Linked DNA regions of Saccharomyces cerevisiae S288C. The protein of the gene in region 1 interacts with the protein of each later gene in a pairwise test. Each region holds a gene or a part of one and is shown in the gene's direction. Other genes may lie near its edges.

Region 1 (6,319 bases):
GCTTCTTAAAATAAGAAAGCAAAGACAAAAGGCAATAAAGGAGCAAGAAACTATGAATTTACAATTGGGAATCAATGGCCATGAGATCATCGGTAACAATAACAGCCATAGCGACATAAATACCGGTACCGATTTTACAACCAATGAAAATACCCCTATGAATGAACTTCCCTCTCACGCACCTGAAGATGCGTCATTAATACCTCATAATTCTGATCTTGCCGTGGACAGCAATACAAGGAAAAATTCAACAAAAAGTGTTGGTTTAGATGAAATTCATGAGATTTTGGGCAAAGATGAAAATGACTTACTGTCTGTAGGTGATATTAACGGTTATGATGCACAAGAAGGTCATGTGATCGAAGATACTGACGCCGATATCCTAGCATCGTTAACCGCTCCTGTGCAATTCGACAATACATTAAGCCATGAAAATAGTAATTCCATGTGGAGAAGAAGGCAAAGTATGGTGGAAGCAGCGGCTGAAAATCTTCGTTTCACTAAAAATGGTTTATTTAGTGAGAGTGCATTGGCAGATATCGAAGGAATTATGGGCAATGATGTTAACCATTCATTCGAATTCAATGACGTCTTACAATGAGCTATTTTGCATTTTTTTATGGTTACTACAATCAAATCACCTTTCGTTTACAATATCATCATCAGTATGTGACTTTGCCTTATTCTACTCTGAATTTTGCTTTATCGTTGGTTGAAAAGAATTACATGTTATTTTTTTACTTATATATGCATATTTTTATAGAAAAACACAATCAATATTTTTTTTACTGGTATAATCCGTCCAATCAGACGTATAAAAGTAAATAAGCCTCAAGCAACCCCATTTGATGGATTGCCTTACTCTTCGACTCTAGTTGAGATGATAACCTCATCCACTCTTCTGGCGATTAAGATGGAGCTTCTTAATATATCCGTGTAAAGCGACTGAAAATTTTCTGAAAAATTCAGCTCATCGCTCTCAGATATAATAGCGGTATGGCATTAAAGGTGTGAACCAACAACATAGTACTCTCAACGGTAGTAAGCCATACTACGTACAATATGGATCTGAAAACCTCATATAAAGGTATATCGTTAAACCCTATTTATGCAGGAAGCAGTGCTGTTGCCACTGTTTCAGAAAATGGTAAAATACTAGCTACTCCGGTGCTTGACGAAATCAACATAATCGATTTAACCCCAGGCTCCAGAAAAATTTTGCACAAGATTTCTAATGAAGACGAGCAAGAAATTACTGCACTGAAATTAACTCCTGATGGTCAATATCTCACGTATGTTTCACAAGCTCAGCTTTTAAAAATCTTTCACCTTAAGACCGGGAAAGTTGTCAGATCAATGAAAATCTCTTCTCCATCGTACATTCTCGACGCAGATTCCACTTCAACGCTTCTCGCAGTCGGAGGGACAGATGGTAGTATAATTGTTGTGGATATTGAAAATGGTTACATTACTCATTCGTTCAAAGGTCATGGTGGTACAATTTCCAGTTTGAAGTTTTATGGACAATTGAATAGTAAAATATGGTTATTAGCATCCGGTGACACCAATGGTATGGTAAAGGTTTGGGATCTTGTTAAAAGGAAGTGCTTGCACACATTACAAGAGCACACATCTGCTGTGAGAGGGTTGGATATCATTGAGGTACCAGATAATGATGAGCCAAGCCTAAATTTACTTTCCGGTGGTAGAGACGATATCATCAATCTCTGGGATTTCAATATGAAAAAGAAATGTAAATTGTTGAAAACACTTCCAGTAAATCAACAGGTAGAGTCATGCGGATTCCTAAAGGATGGTGACGGTAAACGCATAATTTATACAGCCGGCGGTGATGCTATCTTTCAGTTAATTGACTCTGAATCTGGTAGCGTGCTTAAAAGAACCAATAAACCTATAGAAGAGTTATTCATTATTGGTGTACTTCCAATATTGAGCAATTCACAGATGTTTTTAGTATTGTCTGACCAGACATTACAACTAATTAACGTTGAAGAAGACTTAAAGAATGATGAAGACACAATACAGGTCACTTCGAGCATTGCTGGTAATCATGGTATTATTGCTGACATGAGGTATGTTGGCCCAGAGCTGAATAAATTAGCTTTAGCTACCAATTCTCCATCGCTTAGGATAATACCCGTCCCCGATTTATCAGGCCCAGAAGCTTCGCTGCCTTTGGATGTCGAAATTTATGAAGGTCATGAAGATTTGCTAAATTCATTGGATGCTACTGAGGATGGCCTGTGGATCGCAACCGCCTCTAAAGATAATACGGCTATTGTTTGGAGATACAATGAGAACAGCTGCAAGTTTGATATTTATGCCAAGTATATTGGTCATTCAGCTGCCGTAACTGCTGTTGGATTGCCAAATATAGTTTCAAAGGGATATCCTGAATTTTTATTGACAGCATCGAATGATTTAACAATTAAGAAATGGATAATTCCAAAGCCAACTGCTAGTATGGATGTTCAAATCATCAAGGTATCCGAATATACTCGTCATGCCCATGAAAAGGATATCAATGCTTTGTCAGTTTCTCCTAACGATTCTATTTTTGCAACAGCATCATACGACAAGACCTGTAAGATCTGGAACCTAGAAAATGGTGAATTGGAAGCCACGTTGGCCAACCACAAGCGTGGACTATGGGATGTATCATTTTGCCAATATGATAAATTATTGGCAACTTCTTCAGGTGATAAAACAGTCAAGATATGGTCATTGGATACATTCAGCGTTATGAAAACATTGGAAGGTCATACCAATGCGGTTCAAAGATGTTCGTTTATTAATAAGCAAAAACAACTGATCAGTTGTGGTGCTGATGGCTTGATCAAAATATGGGATTGTTCTAGCGGTGAATGTCTGAAGACTTTGGATGGTCATAATAATAGATTATGGGCTTTAAGTACTATGAATGATGGTGATATGATCGTAAGTGCTGATGCAGATGGTGTTTTTCAGTTTTGGAAAGATTGTACGGAACAAGAAATAGAAGAAGAACAAGAAAAAGCTAAATTACAAGTCGAACAAGAACAATCGCTTCAAAATTATATGAGCAAAGGTGATTGGACAAATGCATTTTTGTTAGCAATGACTTTAGATCACCCAATGAGGTTGTTTAATGTTTTGAAAAGAGCTTTGGGCGAATCAAGGTCTAGACAAGATACCGAAGAGGGCAAAATTGAAGTCATTTTCAATGAAGAATTGGACCAAGCCATCTCTATCCTAAATGATGAACAGTTAATTTTGTTAATGAAACGATGCAGAGATTGGAATACAAATGCAAAAACACATACCATAGCGCAAAGAACAATAAGATGTATTTTGATGCATCATAACATAGCAAAATTGAGTGAGATACCCGGAATGGTAAAGATAGTTGATGCAATAATTCCATACACGCAAAGGCATTTCACAAGGGTTGATAACTTAGTTGAACAAAGTTACATATTAGACTACGCGCTAGTGGAAATGGATAAGCTATTCTAGGCAGTAAGTCCAAGATATTGAGCCTTTAAAAGCAAGGCAATAGCAACATATTATTTTGTAAACTAGATATATAAAGACAAAATGCATTGATGAAGCGGAAAGCTTAAAATAATTCGATATATAATTAGGTGCCTTTACGGGCATTGAAAACTTCTTTGCGCGAAGAGCTCATCACTAAAAATTTGCAAAAAACGAAGAGCGAAAACTTTCATATATTGTAGTAATATATACAAGAATTTAAACTGCCCACTTGAAATAGCACGGAAAGAACTAGCCATAATATATTATACAGGATGTCGGCAGGTGATATATCAGCCATAAATATCAAGTCTGTCAAAAAAAACAGAAGGAGGAAGAAGAGAAGAACAGCTGATGTTTCATCATCAGATTCTTCATCATCGGATCCATCATCAGAAAGTGAAAAGGAGGAAATCCAAAATGGGGCCATCGAAGAACACGTTGGAGAAAATGGTAAAAGTGATCATGTTTTCTCAAAAGGTAATGACGAAGACAAACAAGAGGACATTGCAATAGAAGTTTCGGATGTCGAGCTTACAGACGAAGAAAGCAAGGATTTGAAGTTAAATTCAAAAGAAGTGATAGACGATTTAACCAAAATTTCTTTGAGCAAGATCCCAGAGCCTACGAAATCTCAAAACAAGGAGGGTTTTATGAATGCATCGAAAATTGCCGAAAATATCAAGCTTGCGAGAGAAGAATACAATGAATTGGCAGAAAACTTTGTGCCCAAAGGGAAAGACAAGACAAAGTTAAGGGAAGAATACTTAAATTTACTTTTTGAAAACTACGGTGATGATATCAATCGTCTTAGAGCTGCCCCGGATTTCACGAATAAATCACTATCCATTTTGGCAGATGCTCTGCAGGAAGGCATAGGAATGTTTGATATTGGTGAACTAGAATTGGTCTTGAAAAATAAAGAAATGGAGAACTGAAAAATATTGCTTTAAATCTTTTTCTAAAAGTTTGTCATGTTTCCGCGGAGAATATATTGACGTGCACATTAATTATTTAGATAATTCTTCGATTTTTAATGAAGAGCGGTCCTGATCCAAGTTGTGCTTCATATGGTATAAAGCTGATTCCAGTATACTGCACGAGAAGTATATGTATGTATTTTGTAATTTATATAAAGGCAAAAAAAAGAAAAACACTTGGGCATAATGGAGGAGAAGATCTTATGACCTGATAGTCAAAGAGAAAAAGAAAAAAGCAGAAGGAGCAAAGAAAGGCGGCGACCAAATGACGAATTAGATCCAATGAAAAACGATTCAATGCGAATAAAGGTTATCATGGATCACCTGATGGGCCTCTTGGCAATAGAAAAAGAAACTAGTTTGAAATTCATTAATATAAATAAATTTAAAGAGGAGAATATAGAAACAAATTAAAACGTAAAAGAAATGTATGTCGAGAAAATCCAGCCCAGTTCCAAGTATATAGCAAAGCTTCTCAATCCCAAATTTCTTTACAATAAATATGTATAGTGTTGTTACTTTACACTTAACCCAGTAACTTAACAAAGAACCAAGCCGCACCTGCTGCTACACCACCCACAACAACCATTTCAACACCTTCCGTAACTTTCTTTGAAGTCGAACTGCCACTACCCATGGATAGTTTTGTCTTTACGTAACCAAACCAGAATAATGTTACAACCATGACTATTATAGAATAAATGAGACCTGTGCCCACATCTGAGACAAAAAAATATGGCACTAGTGGTACTAGCCCACCAAGTAGATAACCGCCACCGATAGTGACTGCACTGATTAGTTCTCTATTCTCGGCAGGTTCGTCTAGACCCCTACCGTACCTGATAATGAAGTCAACCATTAGCTCAGGTGTTCTTTGTAAATCTTTGATGAACGAAACGATTGTTTCGTCCGAGAAATTAGGGTTAATCTCTAACAGAATGTCTTCAATTTCTCTGTTAATTAGGTTGGAGTTATCGTAAAATTTCCTTTTCTCCTTCTTTACTTCAGCATGATAATAATCAGATTCACTCTTCGCTCCCAAATAGCCACCAAGGCCCATAGAAATCGCACCTGAGATCAACTCAGCAAAGCCACCGGTAATGACCAATTTCGCATCACCAAGTGAAGATAGACCAGCTGTTAGAGCAAAGGGGACGGTTAAACCGTCGCTTAGCCCGATAATCAAATCGCTAATTACGCGAGGATCTACTGATTGGAAGAACCCTAGGTTCGCCTTTTCGTTATCCGAACCGTTATCGCCATTCCTATTATCTTTCCCTACTGACATCGGTGAGTTTTCTAGATCCTGCGCTGAATTTCTACCATAGATAATATCCGAGCTAGATGAGGATAAGTTATCATGCCTTGAACTATTGCTATTACTACCCCTCAACAAGGGAGTTGATTCAGACCCCCCCAACTCTGAGGTTCCACCACTACCTTTCGCTTTCTGTATAAGGGTCACCACTGCGTTCTTTAGTGCTACAATGGACATAATATTTGTGTGCACGAGATATGGGAGGACAAAAAAAAAGTTTCTTTGTTCAATATACCAATAAAAAAAAAGAGTCTAAAGGCTTCGTTCTGTTATATTTCTATTCTATAAACCTAAAAAAAGCAAAAATTGAGAGTGATGTCGCTTTAACTTGATTATTTGAACTATTTTGTTTTGTATCAATTTTTCATATATAATCTTAATTTTACATCTTCATTGTGAGACATTCGGGCTAACAAAGAAAACAAAAAATGCGGGTCACGAAAGGGGTACCGAGCCAATGAGAAGAGGGTATGTTAGTAATATTAGT
Region 2 (9,320 bases), on another chromosome or scaffold:
GGGGTCATCATCGACCATCCAATACCTTGGATCTCTGGTCCCCAGTTCTGAAATAATTCTACTGAATGACCAAGTAGAGTCTACTTGATTTTCCTTCAGCATGGTAATAAATTCCTTCTCTGCTTCTTCTTTAGTCCTTCTCCTGACATTAAGCAGTTTAGAGTTATTAGCATATTGGCTTTCCTCCTCGTTTATAGTTCGTCCCGGCTCTTGTTTTTCTCCAGCCGTAAGGGCTATTCTATTTCCATTAACCTGTGCATGGGATACTGTATCATGTTTTTGTTCTGCGATGGGTTCTACTTTCTTCTCGAAGGCCGGAATAGTCCAGCTGGTTTCTCTTGTTGTTGGATTATAATAGTATACTTTGCCGTCTGCCGTCTTGGCCGCCTTCCAGCCATTTTCTCGAAGAAGTAGCTCCTCCTGAGAAATTAGTTCCTTGGGCTTCTCCCACGTAGATTTCTTTGTCAAAGTATTGTAATAATATATCCTTCCACTTGCATCTTTAGCTTCCTTCCAAATAGACATAGTTTCACGTCTCCCACCTCCGGCAATGCTTGTCTAGTGGTCGATCTGGCTTCAGACCTTGTTATCCTGATAGGTAGGCACGCTATTGCGATGTCATCAACTGCCAGATTTCCAAGTACATTATTATTGTCGATAATTTCATATCGTTTACCACGTCGCCCCTTTTGTATAGCAAAATACAATTATAGAACAAAAAAAGCCTGTAAAGCCAAGCAAATAGAGGCTTTCGGAACAACTCGGTGTCACTTTGACAAAAGATAAAAGAGGAAGCAACTGATAGTAGGAAATGTCACAATCATTACGTCCGTATCTAACGGCTGTTCGTTATTCCCTGGAAGCTGCGTTGACTTTGAGCAATTTCTCTTCGCAGGAAGTGGAGAGGCACAACAGACCGGAAGTTGAAGTCCCTAACACTAGCGCCGAATTGTTGCTCCAACCGATGCATATATCTCGTAATGAAAATGAACAAGTATTGATTGAGCCCAGTGTAAACTCGGTGCGTATGAGTTTAATGGTGAAACAGGCAGATGAAATTGAGCAGATTTTAGTTCACAAGTTTACTAGATTTTTGGAACAGCGTGCTGAAGCATTCTACATTCTGAGACGTGTACCAATACCTGGCTACAGTATTTCTTTTCTAATAACTAATAAGCATACTGAATCAATGAAAACTGGGAAATTGGTTGATTTTATTATTGAATTCATGGAGGACGTGGATAAGGAAATCAGTGAAATTAAACTGTTTTTGAATGCCAGAGCAAGATTTGTTGCGGAAGCATATCTTGATGAATTTGTCTATTAGATTCCTAATATAGGAAAGGGAATCTTTCTCCGTCAGGGCCCTATTGACGGAAAACTTTACGATCTGTACTGACTGTGTTAGTTTGCGTACTCAATTGAACTATTTCGAGACTATTTAGTTAGATACAATAACATGTGTATGTGAATTAATTATAAACGTACTTTTAAATTGCAGTTACTTTGTATAATTATGGTGATTTTTTTAGTACTTAAATTATATTCATAAAAAGGGATTAAAATGTTTCTCCCGACACCTAAAATTAAACTTCAATCTGTCAATTCTAACACAAAACGTTTTCATTTTACGTAAACAAATGAAGATTGAAGATTCTAAAGCATTTATTATTACTGCCGCACTAGTATACGACCAAACTAAAATTATATGATAATAGTGCACCAACATATAGTAAACAGCTTTTACCTATGCACGACTTGCATGAGGATTTCAATATTATATCACTGTAGACGAAATATGAAAAATTTCAGCAATAAAGCTCATCGCAAAGAATAGTTCGGTTATATTCTTGATTGGATATTATTTCTCTAATCTATGCGGTACTACTTCATCTAACAGAACTAGAGGAGCACTTACATAATGAGTAATCATAGCGAAGCCTATGGATCTCGCGACCAGAGAAGGGAGAAGTACACCCAAGGGAAAGAGTTCGAAGACGGTACATTAGAAACACTAGAAAGTATAATCAGTGCAGTCGAAGATGAAACTCTCTCCAAAGATTACCAACCTCTAATAGTGTTCTTCCAAAGAGGATTTGGTGCTCAATTGGTACAGACTTGGTCATATTATGCTCAAGTAAATAACCATGGGAAATTCTCGAAAACTACCTCATTACTGACTAAAACCTTACGAGTTTTGTCATCTGATACTAGTACAGTGACTATTGGGAGCGGTCTAATTAGATTGATATTGACCGATTACACAAAAGTTCTCTATAGAGGGTTGAACAATATGCGTGCGCAATTAACTAATCCAATTCTTCGTCTACTCAAACAAATAGTCAATTTCAACAATGGGCAACATATAGAGGAATTAGTTTCATATTTCGATTTTTCATTACCTATTTTACCAAGACTGTTGGTACCAAGCAAGTCTGAGTTAGCCAATGGGAATTCATCTGCTGATTCATCCAAACATGACTCATTAAGATTTACATTTATCAAGTTTTGGTTGACATTGATCTCAAATGCTTCCCCATTCGTGAGAAAAGAACTTTTGACAGAAAACTTTAAGATTATGAGCAACCTATTTAAATTCATGAATAAGGCTGATTCTGACAAGTTATCTGAGCACATACTATCGGTATTCATAAACGACATTTTAAAGGAGAAATCCTTCAAGAGAACTACTAAAACCAAAATTTTAAATGAACTAGCGGCTTCAAAGATTCATCACTTTTATTATTCATCAAACAAGAATTTGGTTAAGAAGGCAAATGAGTTTTTCTTAACTTTTGGAGCTTCCCGTGACTTTAGCGTAGCATTTCCTGATAATTGCGTTTGGTTCAAAAATTCAGTTGCTGATGGAGCTTCTCATGGAGCTCCGATAACCGTCAACCAAGTGGAATTTCAAATTCATAATAAACTTTTGTTCAACACTTTACGCCTTTTCAAACCTTGGGAAGATACGCTGCAATTAGGTACGTTGATCAAAATATTGGAGAACGTTCCCGAACTTGTTGCTCCTTACAGCATCTTTTTAACGACGAATGGTAACTATGACCCTAAGATGACTTCGTATTGGTTTGGTATAACGTTACTGATTAACAAGATTATTAATCTTAAGATACCGCAATTTATGGAGAAAGTTGATAGCAATATTCCACCTGCCACTTCATTAGTTATAGAAAACATTCTGCCATCTTTGCTCACCAAATCCTCGTTGGTTAAATCCCTACAATTTGAAACACCCATCATAAGACAATTAGCCTGTCAATCAATAGTTCTAGCGTTAAAAAAATTAGAAAAAGTTTCCACATTTTATGATCAAAAAGGCTGGAGAAATGAAAAAACTATTTTACTCAACGAGTTTCATACTAGAATTCCTGATTTACCAATCTTCGTATCTACTTTGAGCAATTCTTTGGCTTCCAATAAGGATAATAGAATTTTACCTCTGTCCATATCCATCATATTCAACTACTATAGTAAAATGTTCCCCAACCTCTTCTCAATTAACCTACCATCATCAAATATTTACACAGATATCATGCAAAAATCCAAGATTTCTGGCATAGAATTTGCTATTCTGGACAACTACTTACAATTTCAAGAATTTAACTCTACTCAAACCAGGTGGTGGAATCCAAGTTCTGGTGGAAATTCTTTATTCACCCTACTATTAAAGCTAGCATCCTCCAAAAATGCTTCTAACGTGATAACTACAAGAATATCCAACTTGCTCGATGAGCTGACGAGAACAAACGTTATCTTCAACATATCTTTAATTTCACCAGTGATGGCTTTAGTGAATAGTCTTCAAGGGCTTTCCCTTCAAGTTTCTGAAATTGACAACATGGAACAAGTCTGGAAGTGGTTTGACGAAACTATATCTCGTGTCGTAAAAACACCATACAAGTACGTCGATATGGCAAAAGAGTATAACTACATTTCTCCCTTCATAATGTGCCTTTCAGAGCAATGGAAATACGTTGACAAGAGTGGAAACCCAGAGTTTTTAATTAAATGGCTTATACTTTTTCTTAGAAACATGATTTTCATTGGTGAAGACCATATAGGCATAGATAAACTTGTTAAAAATGTCTTTCCTGAGGTCTCTGATCATGATGTTAATATATACTTGAAACTTGACTCATTTGAAGAAAACATAAAGAAAACTAATAGCTCTAATTCTTTAATTTCTTCAATGAAGAGCTCATCTTTTTTCCAGTATATTTCGGCGCTTCCATCTAAAAATCTAATGAATATTTCTAGATTACCAGTGAACAAATTAGATGCGGCAGGAATCCTTTTTAGAGTTCAGTTATTGGTAGAAGACGATTCTGTTGTATATGACAATTGGTTCGAAGCAACTGCCTGTGAGTTAACTGGCAAGATTGCTAGCTACATGGTAACAGACACAGAATTCCCAATTATCAAAGTTTTGGAAAGGTATATAAATTTCGCTTTACCAAAACTGGCCATTGAAAAAAGAAATGCTCTACTCATGAAAAAATCAAGGTTCATGTGCAATTTAATCGGTGCAGTATGCTTTGAAACAGGCCATCAATTAGTGGAATTCCGAGAAATAATTCAAAAAGTCGTGTTTAGTGGTGAAAATGTCGAAGAGTATGCCAACTATAATGAGTTGTATCAGAAAGAAGATGTAAATGCTTTCTTAACAAGTGTTAGTGAGTATTTAAGTACTTCAGCTTTAACTTCGCTACTCATGTGTAGCACCAAACTAGAGTCCACAAGAAACATTCTCCAAAAATTATTCAACGAAGGAAAAACTATAAAAATATCCCTTGTAAAGAATATACTGAACAAAGCTGCAAATGAAGATCCTGCTTCAATTAAGGAAGTAAACATCTCTTTGGCTAAATTTTTTGAAGAAAACAAAGTTTGTGTTGATGCTTCATCTGATCCTATGGGTAAGCTATCCCTTTCAGAAACTACTTCTCTGATAAATAGTTTTGTGTCTAGTGATTTGAATTATCTAGTACTGAAAGCTTTTTACAGATGGGAACATTTTTCTTTCCCATCTTTCATACCAAGTATCTGGAGGATCAAGGATTCACCTTTACTAAGTATTGTAACAACGGCTGCTTTGTTCAAGCACATGCAGGATAAAGATTTTAGCGCATTTGCGCATGAAACCATTTCCAAGTATGGTAATGAAATTGCGAAAAGTACTTACACTACCTCGAAAAGTGAGATTTTTGACGAAATATTAAATATGATTACCACTTATATTGATTTCTATGACGAAACGAAACGAAATGAAATTTTGAAATGTGTTTTATCACAGAGCGACCATAAATATCATGCTGCTACAGTAAGATACATAGCTGCACACAATAATTTTACTTATCCAGGGGTAGAAACATGGTTACATAAAACTCTTCTTTACCTTACAAAGTACCTTTCAGAAAGAAAAGTTATCTCCAATTCTTTTTTTGAGTTACTAAGAGCGATGGCTGAGCTCTTAAAACTTGAAGAGGTACCAAATAAGTTGAATGTCAAAATCATTAATTCTCAATTAGAGGCTATTCTAGGCAGTGAGTGGATCAAACAAATTAAGGTTCTTGAATACGTTATTGTATTAATTTTTTGTGTGAGCAAAAAGTCAATTCAATCGCAAAGAATGGTTCAACTTTTATTAAGCAATGACAGTTACTCATCAATAATGATTAAAGACAATGATGAAGATTCATCGTATCGAAAGTTCTTAAGCACAATGATATTATTCTCTTTATTCAGCATCGACCCGGTCGTAAATTCGACGCCAATAGTTCAAGAGAAATTATTGACTTTTTACTCCGGTACTATTTCCAGTAACGACAAGTTGATACTGAAAATTCTAGAAACTATCGAATCTCACACCGCTACTTCATGGACAAACATGATTTTTTCTTGGGAATTTATCAAAGACGAAGAGGAAGAAATCTTGGAAGCCATTGGAGACACGAGGCTGATTACCAAAGAAAGGGAGGGGTTGATACTAACACTACAAAAAAACATGATCAAAAAGTCCATTGACAGATACGTATTGGAAAGGCCTCAAGTCCCTGAATTATATACCGATTCTAATACAAACAATTATGATGCTACTACAAGGTGTGACCTAGTCAAAAAGTACTACGATGATACCGAACGATCTGGTGTTGATATGTACGATCCATTATTTTTACTGCTATTAATAATCCATAACAAAGAGCTGGTAAAAATGGTCAAAGATGACGAGGGCAATGTAACATACAGATATGAATTTGAAAATTTCCTTGATTGCAAAATATTTCAGTTTATTATTTGCTCATTAAGCGATTGTCATACCGTTGCCAATATAAGTTACGAACATTTATCAAATTTAGCTTCTTCTTTGGAGAAGAAAACTGCCCAGATGAATCTTGAAAAGCAAATAACTAGCAAGGATAATGAAAGAAAAGAATCTGATAGCGATTTAATCAAATATAATAGCATTTACCAAGTGTTGATTAAAAGGATTTTATACCAGAGACAACAAAATCAAGATCCTATCAATCCGTTAATTTGGTTTTCTATCTCTAGAATTGTTGATCTATTGGGAAGTCCAACTGCGCCCTTACATGAGAAGGCATACCGCTGGGTATTATCAAATTCTACCATACGTAGTTGGGACATCCCTATGGTATCTGATGTGATGATGTCCTACAATAAGAGACAACAAGATGACAATAAGAAAGAAATTGATATGGAAATATACTATGGAGAATTGAGTTGGGTTTTAACAACCATTTGTAAGGGAATTAAAACGGATGAAGATTACAAGATGTTAGAGAAGAAAGGTGTATTTGAATGGTTGTTAAACTTGATCAATATGCCATACTTGAAAGAAAGATTACGCGAACTAATCTATTTTATTTTTTACAAAGTCCAAAGGGTAGCAGATGATGGTGGTTTGAATTTAATTAGCAGAAACGGTATTGTGTCGTTTTTCGAGGTTTTGAACAATAACATCAAATCTAGACTACCACAGGACGATATACTGAACAACATTGGTACTTTACGGAACGAAAACAGAGGTACATTAAATACTACTTTGAGGTTAGCCCAAGAACAAAACGGAATTGAAAAACTACTATTAGGCTACAACGAGCTTGTCAAATCACAAAAAAGGCTAATATTATGGACAGAAGGTGATAGCGACAATGTTGTCAAGAGGCTACGTAAATGAGCTGTCTTGTGATAGATATTTTAAATAAGATTTGAAGAATTAAATGTCCACTTTTCTATATAATGTGCGAAATGTATAATATATGCATAAGAAAACAAAGAAATCAGTATTTTCTTCTTTGTCTTTGTAATGGTGTTATGGTCCTAAATAATCAGTAAAGTCAATTTCACTACCAGCAGCTGCAGTTGGATCCATAGTATTTCCCAGCCACATTGCTTGATCAGTGATTTCCTTCCAAAGTTTTTCATCGGAATGATCAATATTGCCTAAATCCTCCAACAATTGTTGTAAATCGTCATCATTTAGATTATGAACGGAATCCAACTGATCCATGTTTTTTTCCATCACCTGAGAGCCCTTTTCAGTTAGCGTGGTTTGGTATGAATTTTCCAAGCTCGCAGTTATGATATCAAAAAAAGTAGAAGGTTCCGAGTTATTGACGTTAATATCATTAACATCATTATTACCATTACTATAATCAGTCAGCGTTGGTTTCGCGCCTTCCGGAAGTATGCTAACAATGTTCGATATAGATTCGTTCTTGATCATATTTGTATTGGTGTTTGATTTATCACAGTCTATAATTGAAGGGTCAATGCGATCGCCATCTTTGTGAGGTTTACACTTTTCGGTTTCTCTTTTGGGTTCATTGCTATCTTCTACTATGTTATCGTTTTCACAATTCATAGAATCAAATTTCAAAATATCGTTATATTTAGTAATCAAGTCATTCATTATGCCGTGGAAATCCAAATTTGCCATTAATGTTAATAATTGTGCTCTTCTTAAGCCTGCTGGAATGTTGCCTAAGTTTCTCATTTGTGTGAAAATTTCCAGAGAATGATCCAAATGATATAGTGTTTGTTCATGAATACCAAAAGCAGTGTTGAATAGTAATAAAGTACAAGAAGAAGTAAAAAGATACTCTCTGTCCATATAACTAAACATAGCAAGCATACTATTCTGTAATAAACTCCACAGAGACCTAATAGTATTCACAGAAGCATGCAAAGAACATGTTAATAAGGAAGATATTGTGGCAGAATAGTTTTGTAAGTTGACGAAAGTATTGCTCGTTTTGAACCTTTTCAATTGAATGGATGCAAAATGAAATAATAAAGGTCTCACGGCCAAGTTTATTCCTTGAAAATATTCCGTAAACATATTGGTTGACAATCTCGATATTTTGAAATCTTCATCCTTTTGCGTAAAATCCACCTGTAAGGAATCGGACAAATTGTTCCTCCATTCCAACAACTGCTTGATGACAACTTTCAAAGTAATTATGATGTTTGTCTCAGGTTGCCTTTGATATAATTTGCTCAAAATTTGTGCATTGATTTTCACAATAGTAACGCAGTTAGAAATCAATTCTGCCTTTCTGAAAACATAGTGACTATTTTTCTCTTCGATAGTTTCATCATCAATATCCGCTGGCAGTGCTGTAGAGATTGTATAATCAGTGAAACTTAATGGTAACCCAGCTTTTGAGCTAAGCATTCGTTCAAACATGTAAACTGTCCACCAAAGTCTCCTATGATGCTCGATTTCATACCTGGATAGAGTGTCGCTTTGAGAATCAACATGTAAGCCTAGAATTAAGCACGTCCTTAGGGCTTGACCGAAGTAAAAATAAGAGGCTAAAGTGTAATCAGCCACCTGTAAGAAGAACGCGTATAACAACAGGACTTCAATACCGCCTTTCTTAGTCACATTTTCTAATCTTTCACTTGAGAACAAACAATTAAAAATTTTAGAACCCATTTGAAAAAATTTTGAACCGGGCAATTTTGGCTGATTAGAATAATTCTTCAACATTTCATTATTGATGGAACCCAGATACATTTCACCTACTGCTAAAATTAACAAAATTTTGCAAAACCAAACAGCTTGTAAAATTGGATCATTCTCATTGTCCAAAGCTTTTTTGGTATTATCATAGTATAGCCATTTATTTTCCAAGTACAATTTGTTAATGCCACATTTAACCAGGCCTTCGTTGAAAAAGTAAAAACAACCATCGTTATAATTTATAAAGCAGTCAATTAATAGTTTTGTGTAATTATACGAAGGCAACTGAAACTGTATTACCTCTTCCTGGCCA
Region 3 (7,543 bases), on another chromosome or scaffold:
CGTGGTGTATATTTCCTTCGCTATTTCTGGTAGTCTCCATTCTACACATATACTTAGCATCCATTCAATGTCATCATTCGTAACAAATGGGTAGTGTGGAAGTAATTCTGCAATCACCATTTTCTTTGCACTTCTCGTCCCTGTTGCAGATAAGGCTATCAATCCAATGGCAACGGGCCATAGTTCCTTATCACCCAGTGAACACAACTCAAAAGCGAAGCTATTTAGCATATAAGATGCCATACCATTCCTATAAGAGAATAGATCTTCAAGCATTTCGTTGTCTTCATTACTATAATCATCGCTATTTTTTTCACCCTCAAAAATATTCTCTATCAAACCTTTTGCTTCACAAATCATAGCGGTAAATGCTGCTGTGCAACTATCTAAAGATTCCATTACCGGTAAAATTGAGTGTATCTTACCACTAATGATGTCGACGCATGGTTGTTCCCAATCATTTGTTATGTCTACGACGTTAGCTTCCAGTGACATTTGTAAATATTCTGCTGATAGTTCTAATGAGGGGATATAGTATAATAAAAACCCACAAAAGGACTCATACCACGTCCTTGAATACTGCAGAATTTTTCGTTGATTTCCACCAATTACTAACAAGAAATCTTCAATGTAATCCCGTAATTCACCGGAAATATCAGTAGCAGAACTACCAAAGGCTTGACTTAATTTTAGCACCAAATTTTTCCATTCTCTAAATGTACTGGACGAATCTTTTGGATATTGTTTCAGGAGTTCGATGGAGTCACTTACTGCATCAAATGAAACGGCACATGTATCACTCAAATATGGTAAAAGATCTGATCTTTCAATGCAACCTATAGCTTGGGAGAGCAGGCCTCTTAAAACAAGCTGATTCAAAAGCTTCCAGAAATATTGTGTTTCGAACACTTTTTTACCTGCTGTAGAATCCTTCACTGAAAACACTTGTTCAATATATTCTTCATCTGGTTCACCGTCTGATCTATTAATCCAGTTTAGCAATGACTCAATAAACTCTGATCTGTTCTCCTCTACATCCTGACCATCTAATATGAAGTACATTGTCCTCAGACAGTTTAAAACGGTTAAAGATTCTTCCAACTCATAAAATCGGTTCACTCTTCCATCCTGATCCTTGACTCTACCAATAAACACTTCCAATTCATTCAGAATCGCCTCCATGGCCAGATTTACTGTTGCATTATGCTCCTTCGCGAAATTAGAATTAACAACTCCAATCGTTGGTACATTAAACACTCTGTCATCACCTAAATCACGGTAAATTTCAAATAAACCTGATACGTATGCAGAAAACTCTTTGCTGGTATCTAATCTAGGAATTCTAACAGGATAAAGCTTATATTTATCTTTTGCAGTTATGAATGCCATATTTTGGTAAGAAAGTGGCCCCAGCTTGAACTTTAAAGGCATCTTGTCGCCATTTTTTTCAATCGGTTGATCATTTACAGTCATAGGGACCAGGATAGCCCCGCTGACTGGGTCCCTTTTATATAGTTGTTCTTCTTCATCGGTCTTGTTATTACTAAGTTGCGCCGTTCCGTCGTCCAAAAAATCAAATTGATCGACGTCCATAAGTAATCGATTTGAATCATCGATTGTCATATCTGATAATTGCGTTCTGGCTCACGCTTATTGACTCAACTCAAGACCGTAAGTTCAATGTTTTCTATACAACTACAATTTGTACAAGGCTTGACTTCCATCCAACTAAAAAACCTCTCCGTCGTGCGCGATCTGAAAAATTTCACTTAGCTCATCTCAAAATGATCGCTAAGAGGGCACTTGGTCACAACTACAGAATTGTTTACTAGCATAGGAACATCTCTGTCTAAGATTTAGCTTGCCATCAATTATCTTTGGAAAAACAGAGAGTATACTGCACTTTTTGATAATATGGGTGATCTTACAGAAGAACTATCTATCCCAGACAATGCCCAAGATTTGTCGAAATTACTACGTTCGACGAGCACAAAACCCCATCAAATTGCCGAGATAGTTTCAAAATTTGATAAATTAGAAACCTACTTTCCAAAAAAAGAAATTTTCGTCTTAGATTTACTCATTGATAGGCTCAACAATGGAAATTTGGATGATTTTAAGACCAGTGAACATACTTGGATAATTTTCACGAGATTATTAGATGCTATTAATGATCCAATTTCGATAAAAAAACTACTCAAAAAATTGAAGACTGTGCCTGTAATGATAAGAACATTTTTCCTTTGGCCTAAAGACAAATTACTTACACGTAGCGTTTCGTTTATAAAAGCATTTTTTGCGATTAATGACTACTTGATTGTCAATTTTTCTGTTGAAGAGTCTTTTCAACTTTTAGAACATGCCATAAATGGATTAAGTTCGTGCCCGACGACTGACTTTGCGCTTTCATACTTGCAAGATGCCTGCAATCTAACTCATGTTGACAATATTACTACAACGGATAACAAAATTGCTACTTGTTACTGCAAGCATATGCTACTACCAAGTTTAAGATATTTCGCACAGACCAAAAATTCTGCATCTTCAAACCAATCCTTCATTCGTCTATCTCATTTTATGGGAAAGTTCCTTTTACAACCACGCATAGATTACATGAAATTAAATAAAAAGTTTGTCCAAGAGAATGCGTCCGAAATTACCGACGATATGGCTTATTATTATTTTGCCACTTTCGTCACTTTCTTATCAAAAGACAATTTTGCTCAACTAGAAGTCATCTTTACAATTTTAGGTGCCAAGAAACCTAGTTTAGAATGCAGATTTCTGAATCTTTTATCGGAATCGAAGAAAACCGTATCTCAAGAGTTCCTTGAAGCATTATTGCTTGAAATGTTAGCGTCGACTGATGAATCTGGAGTGTTATCATTAATACCAATTATCCTTAAATTGGATATCGAGGTTGCTATTAAACATATTTTTCGGTTACTTGAATTGATTCAGCTCGAAAATTTGAACGATCCTCTCTTTTCCTCTCATATTTGGGATTTAATAATCCAATCACACGCTAACGCAAGGGAATTATCAGATTTTTTTGCCAAAATAAATGAGTACTGTTCCAGAAAAGGACCCGATTCCTATTTTTTGATAAATCATCCTGCATATGTCAAGTCTATAACGAAGCAATTGTTCACTTTATCTTCTTTACAATGGAAAAATCTATTGCAAGCTTTACTTGACCAAGTCAATCACGATTCCACCAACAGGGTTCCTTTATATTTAATACGCATATGCTTGGAGGGACTATCAGAGGGCGCATCGCGCGCAACTCTCGATGAGGTAAAGCCTATTTTATCTCAAGTATTTACTTTGGAATCATTTAATAACAGTCTTCAATGGGACCTAAAGTATCATATAATGGAAGTCTACGATGATATTGTCCCTGCAGAGGAACTAGAAAAAATCGATTACGTGTTATCTTCTAATATTTTTGATACTACATCGGCTGATGTTGAAGAACTGTTCTTTTATTGCTTCAAATTGAGAGAATATATTTCGTTCGATCTTTCTGATGCAAAAAAAAAATTCATGAGGCACTTTGAAATCCTTGACGAAGAAAGAAAGTCAAACTTATCATACTCTGTTGTGTCCAAATTTGCAACATTAGTAAACAACAACTTTACAAGAGAACAAATTTCTTCTTTAATTGATTCATTACTATTGAACTCGACAAATTTATCTTCGTTATTAAAAAATGATGACATTTTTGAGGAGACAAATATCACGTACGCTTTAATAAACAAGCTTGCTTCATCATACCATCAAACCTTCGCTCTAGAAGCTTTGATTCAAATTCCTATCCAATGCATCAACAAAAACGTTAGAGTGGCTCTCATTAACAATCTAACATGCGAATCATTTTGCCTTGATTCCGCTACTAGAGAATGCCTCCTTCATTTATTGTCAAGCCCGACCTTCAAGAGCAACATTGAAACAAATTTCTACGAATTATGTGAGAAAACAATAATGAGCCCCGAAATGGCCATTTCAGAGACAGGTGATGAAAAAAAGGAAATAGAAGACAAAATATCTATTTTCGAAAAAGTTTGGACTAATCATCTGTCACAGGCAAAGGAGCCTGTGAGTGAGAAGTTCTTAGAATCTGGTTACGATATCGTTAAACAGTCAATGTCATTGTCCAATGGTGATAGCAAACTAATTATCGCCGGGTTTACTATCGCAAAATTTTTGAAACCAGATAACAAGCATAGAGATATACAAGGTATGGCAATTAGCTATGCTGTTAAAATTTTGGAAAACTACTCTGAAAATTTTGAATCTGAAACAATTCCCCTTTTCAGAATATCAATGTCTACATTGTACAAGATTATAACGACCGGACAAGGCGATATTTCTAAGCATAAATCGAGAATTCTGGATATATTTTCCAAAATTATGCTTCGATATCATTCTAAAAAAGTGTACCATGCGCCAGAAGAACAGGAAATGTTTTTGGTTCATTCACTCCTTACAGAAAACAAGTTGGAGTATATTTTTGCAGAGTACTTAAATATTGAGCATACAGATAAGTGCGATTCTGCCTTGGGGTTCTGCTTGGAAGAAAGTCTTAAACAAGGTCCTGATGCGTTTAACCGCCTGCTCTGGAACAGTGCTAAATCGTTTTCCACCATTAGCCAACCTTGTGCTGAAAAATTTGTGAGAGTTTTTATCATAATGTCAAAAAGGATTGCAAGAGACAATAACCTTGGTCATCACCTATTTGTGATAGCTTTACTTGAAGCCTACACCTATTGTGATATAGAAAAATTTGGCTACAAGTCATACTTGCTACTGTTCAATGCTATCAAGGAGTTCTTAGTATCGAAACCATGGCTATTCAGCCAATACTGTATTGAAATGCTGCTTCCTTTCTGTTTAAAAACTCTCGCTTTTATAGTAAACCATGAGTCAACGGATGAAATCAATGAAGGCTTTATTAACATCATCGAAGTGATAGATCATATGCTATTAGTTCACAGGTTTAAATTTTCCAATCGTCACCATTTGTTTAACTCCGTTCTTTGCCAGATACTAGAAATAATAGCAATTCATGATGGTACATTGTGTGCAAATTCAGCAGACGCCGTAGCCAGACTAATAACGAACTACTGCGAGCCTTATAATGTATCAAACGCTCAAAATGGGCAGAAAAATAACTTAAGCTCAAAGATAAGTTTGATAAAGCAGTCCATCAGAAAAAATGTACTTGTGGTTCTAACGAAATATATACAGTTGTCTATTACGACGCAGTTCAGTTTAAACATAAAAAAGAGTCTGCAGCCCGGTATTCATGCGATTTTTGATATATTATCTCAGAACGAGTTGAATCAATTGAACGCTTTCCTTGACACACCTGGGAAACAATATTTCAAAGCACTTTACCTCCAATACAAAAAGGTTGGTAAATGGCGCGAAGATTAACTTATGTGTTTTAGTGTGTTTTCAAAAGGCATTTCTCTGCTCACGTTTAATAACAGGGTGACGGAGCTTAAACAAGTAAAAATTGATAAAAGTCTGTATCATATAATTTTGAATAATCTATACTAGCGCCTTAAAAATTACATAAATGTCTAATCATATAACGTTACCATTTCGATTAGTGGTAAACCTTTTGATTATGAAATGGATAACTGACCAACATCTTCTATCAAGTGCTTCATTATATGTAAATTTCGCACCGTGAACTTCTCGATACTTAATTCTTTTGAACCTCAAAATATCTTTAGCAGTGACCAACCCCTTTAAAATTCCACTTTCCTCTACGATGATAGTCTTACAACCTAGCTCTTTAAACATACGGAATAACAATGTTACTGGCACCGCCTTCTTCACCGAGATTGGAGATTCATTCATAATATCCTTAAATCCGATGCAGTTTTCACGATGTCCCAACTCTTCGTTAGACTTATTGAAGTATACCAGTGTCGTTTGAGCTTTGGTGCTATTTACGCTTTGCATCATGATTTTACTGGCTAAGTGCCTTTTTAAAACATAGCCAATACATCTTTTTTCCTTCTCAAACTTATCCTCATCCTTAGTTATTGGAAAACCATGCACAGAATATTCAGACGCTGAGTCGTACAACAAAGATTCAAGCTCGGAAAGGTAAATGGTTTCATTAATAGTAATTAATTTGGAGGACATGAGCTGCTCTGCAGTGTATTTTTCTAAGGTTTCCTCCTCTTCCTCGTCTTGCTCGTCTTCCAAATATGGGAATCCATTAACCATGATCATTTGATCAGCAATACCGCCAGAAATACCAGACGTGCTTAAAATTATCCTTGTTATTGCCACTACAATCATAAGGGGTATGATATACATGAAGGCGCCTGTTAGCTCGAACATTATTACCACCACAGTTAAAGTCAAGTTAGTTATCCCGCTCAAGGTAGCGGCTGCTCCCAGGAAGGCGTAGGCACCAGGAGTAATAACAGAAGGGCCACTTATAAATCTCTCTACCAGTAGACTTACTGCCCGTCCAAATGTGGCCCCAACCGCCATTGAAGGAACAAAGATTCCGGCAGGAACTCTGGCGCCATATGATACCACCACCAACAAGGCCCTGATAACAGTGGCAAAGCATAGGGAAGTAAAAATTTTTAAGAACTCAAAAGCGTGCGTATTTTCATCCAACTGACATAACCTATGACTAAAAGTTGAGGTGTTATCGTTCTTGACACATTCATGAAACAATATACCCATACTTTCTGTCATGTCTAATTTCAAGAACTCATTGAAGTAAGAAATCAAAGCAGTAAGCGTCGCCAAAAAAAGCACTTCTTGAACTGGCCATGAGGACAGGTACATTTTGCGAAAGTGAATAAAGTTGATGTTCCACTTACTAATATATTTTCCATATAAACCACCAAAGATTCCTAAGGCTATAAAGATCGGAATCTCTTGTACCTTCCAGTCTCTATCATATGTTACATTGAATAAAATAACTCTGCCATTCCTAAATGGATCAATGTACTTCAAAGTAGTTATTGCGACTAGGGCGACATAATAGGATTTCCATAAGGTAGAGGAGTTAAACCTATTCGCAGAAGCAATCTCTTCCAAACCAAAAAGGACACCACCAATAGGAGCACCAAAAGCAACCGCAACACCTGCTCCACTAGCTGCTGTGATATACTCATATTGCGATGAATACGTCAAAGTATCTCTTAGTAGCCATTTTGTGAGTAAGTACCCACAACAGGTTGCATAATGAACTGAGGGCCCTTCTTTACCTACGCTTAATCCCGAAGAAATAGCCAAAGGAAGGGCAACACTTTTAATGACTAATGTTAAGAAACCCAAAAATTCCTTATTGTATTCAAAACCTGATACCCATACCTTAATCTCTGAGATTCCTGAACCAGTAGCCATAGGAGCAACATATTTGACTAACAGTGTACTAATTAGAGCAAATAAGACTGACAAAAGCATGAAAATTATAAAAGGGGACACATGTCCCTTCCAGGCAATCCAAAGCCCTTGTGCCTCGCATTCAAACTCTTGTCTTTTCAGTAGTAAATTGCTT

Evidence for each region. Proteins that work in one complex are often made in the same cells at the same time.
Region 2: the proteins of RSA3 (region 1) and URB1 interact in binary tests that used the Saccharomyces cerevisiae proteins (3 or more experiments, as listed by UniProt).
Region 3: the proteins of RSA3 (region 1) and URB2 interact in binary tests that used the Saccharomyces cerevisiae proteins (3 or more experiments, as listed by UniProt).

Annotation. Positions count from the first base shown.
Region 1 is NC_001144.5:576,515-582,833, reverse strand, and holds RSA3 (Rsa3p), read left to right. Parts: upstream 1-3,809; coding exon 3,810-4,472; downstream 4,473-6,319. Other genes in the region: IFH1 (Ifh1p), read left to right, coding at 1-601; U3 snoRNA-associated protein UTP13, read left to right, coding at 1,063-3,516; CCC1 (Ccc1p), read right to left, coding at 5,041-6,009. UniProt on the Saccharomyces cerevisiae protein: Required for efficient biogenesis of the 60S ribosomal subunit.
Region 2 is NC_001143.9:409,515-418,834, reverse strand, and holds URB1 (Urb1p), read left to right. Parts: upstream 1-1,921; coding exon 1,922-7,216; downstream 7,217-9,320. Other genes in the region: snoRNA-splicing protein PRP40, read right to left, coding at 1-525; ARC19 (Arc19p), read left to right, coding at 812-1,327; PUT3 (Put3p), read right to left, coding at 7,352-9,320. UniProt on the Saccharomyces cerevisiae protein: Required for 60S ribosomal subunit formation and pre-rRNA processing. Required for normal accumulation of 25S and 5.8S rRNAs.
Region 3 is NC_001142.9:508,135-515,677, reverse strand, and holds URB2 (ribosome biogenesis protein URB2), read left to right. Parts: upstream 1-1,914; coding exon 1,915-5,439; downstream 5,440-7,543. Other genes in the region: NUP85 (Nup85p), read right to left, coding at 1-1,623; GEF1 (Gef1p), read right to left, coding at 5,593-7,543.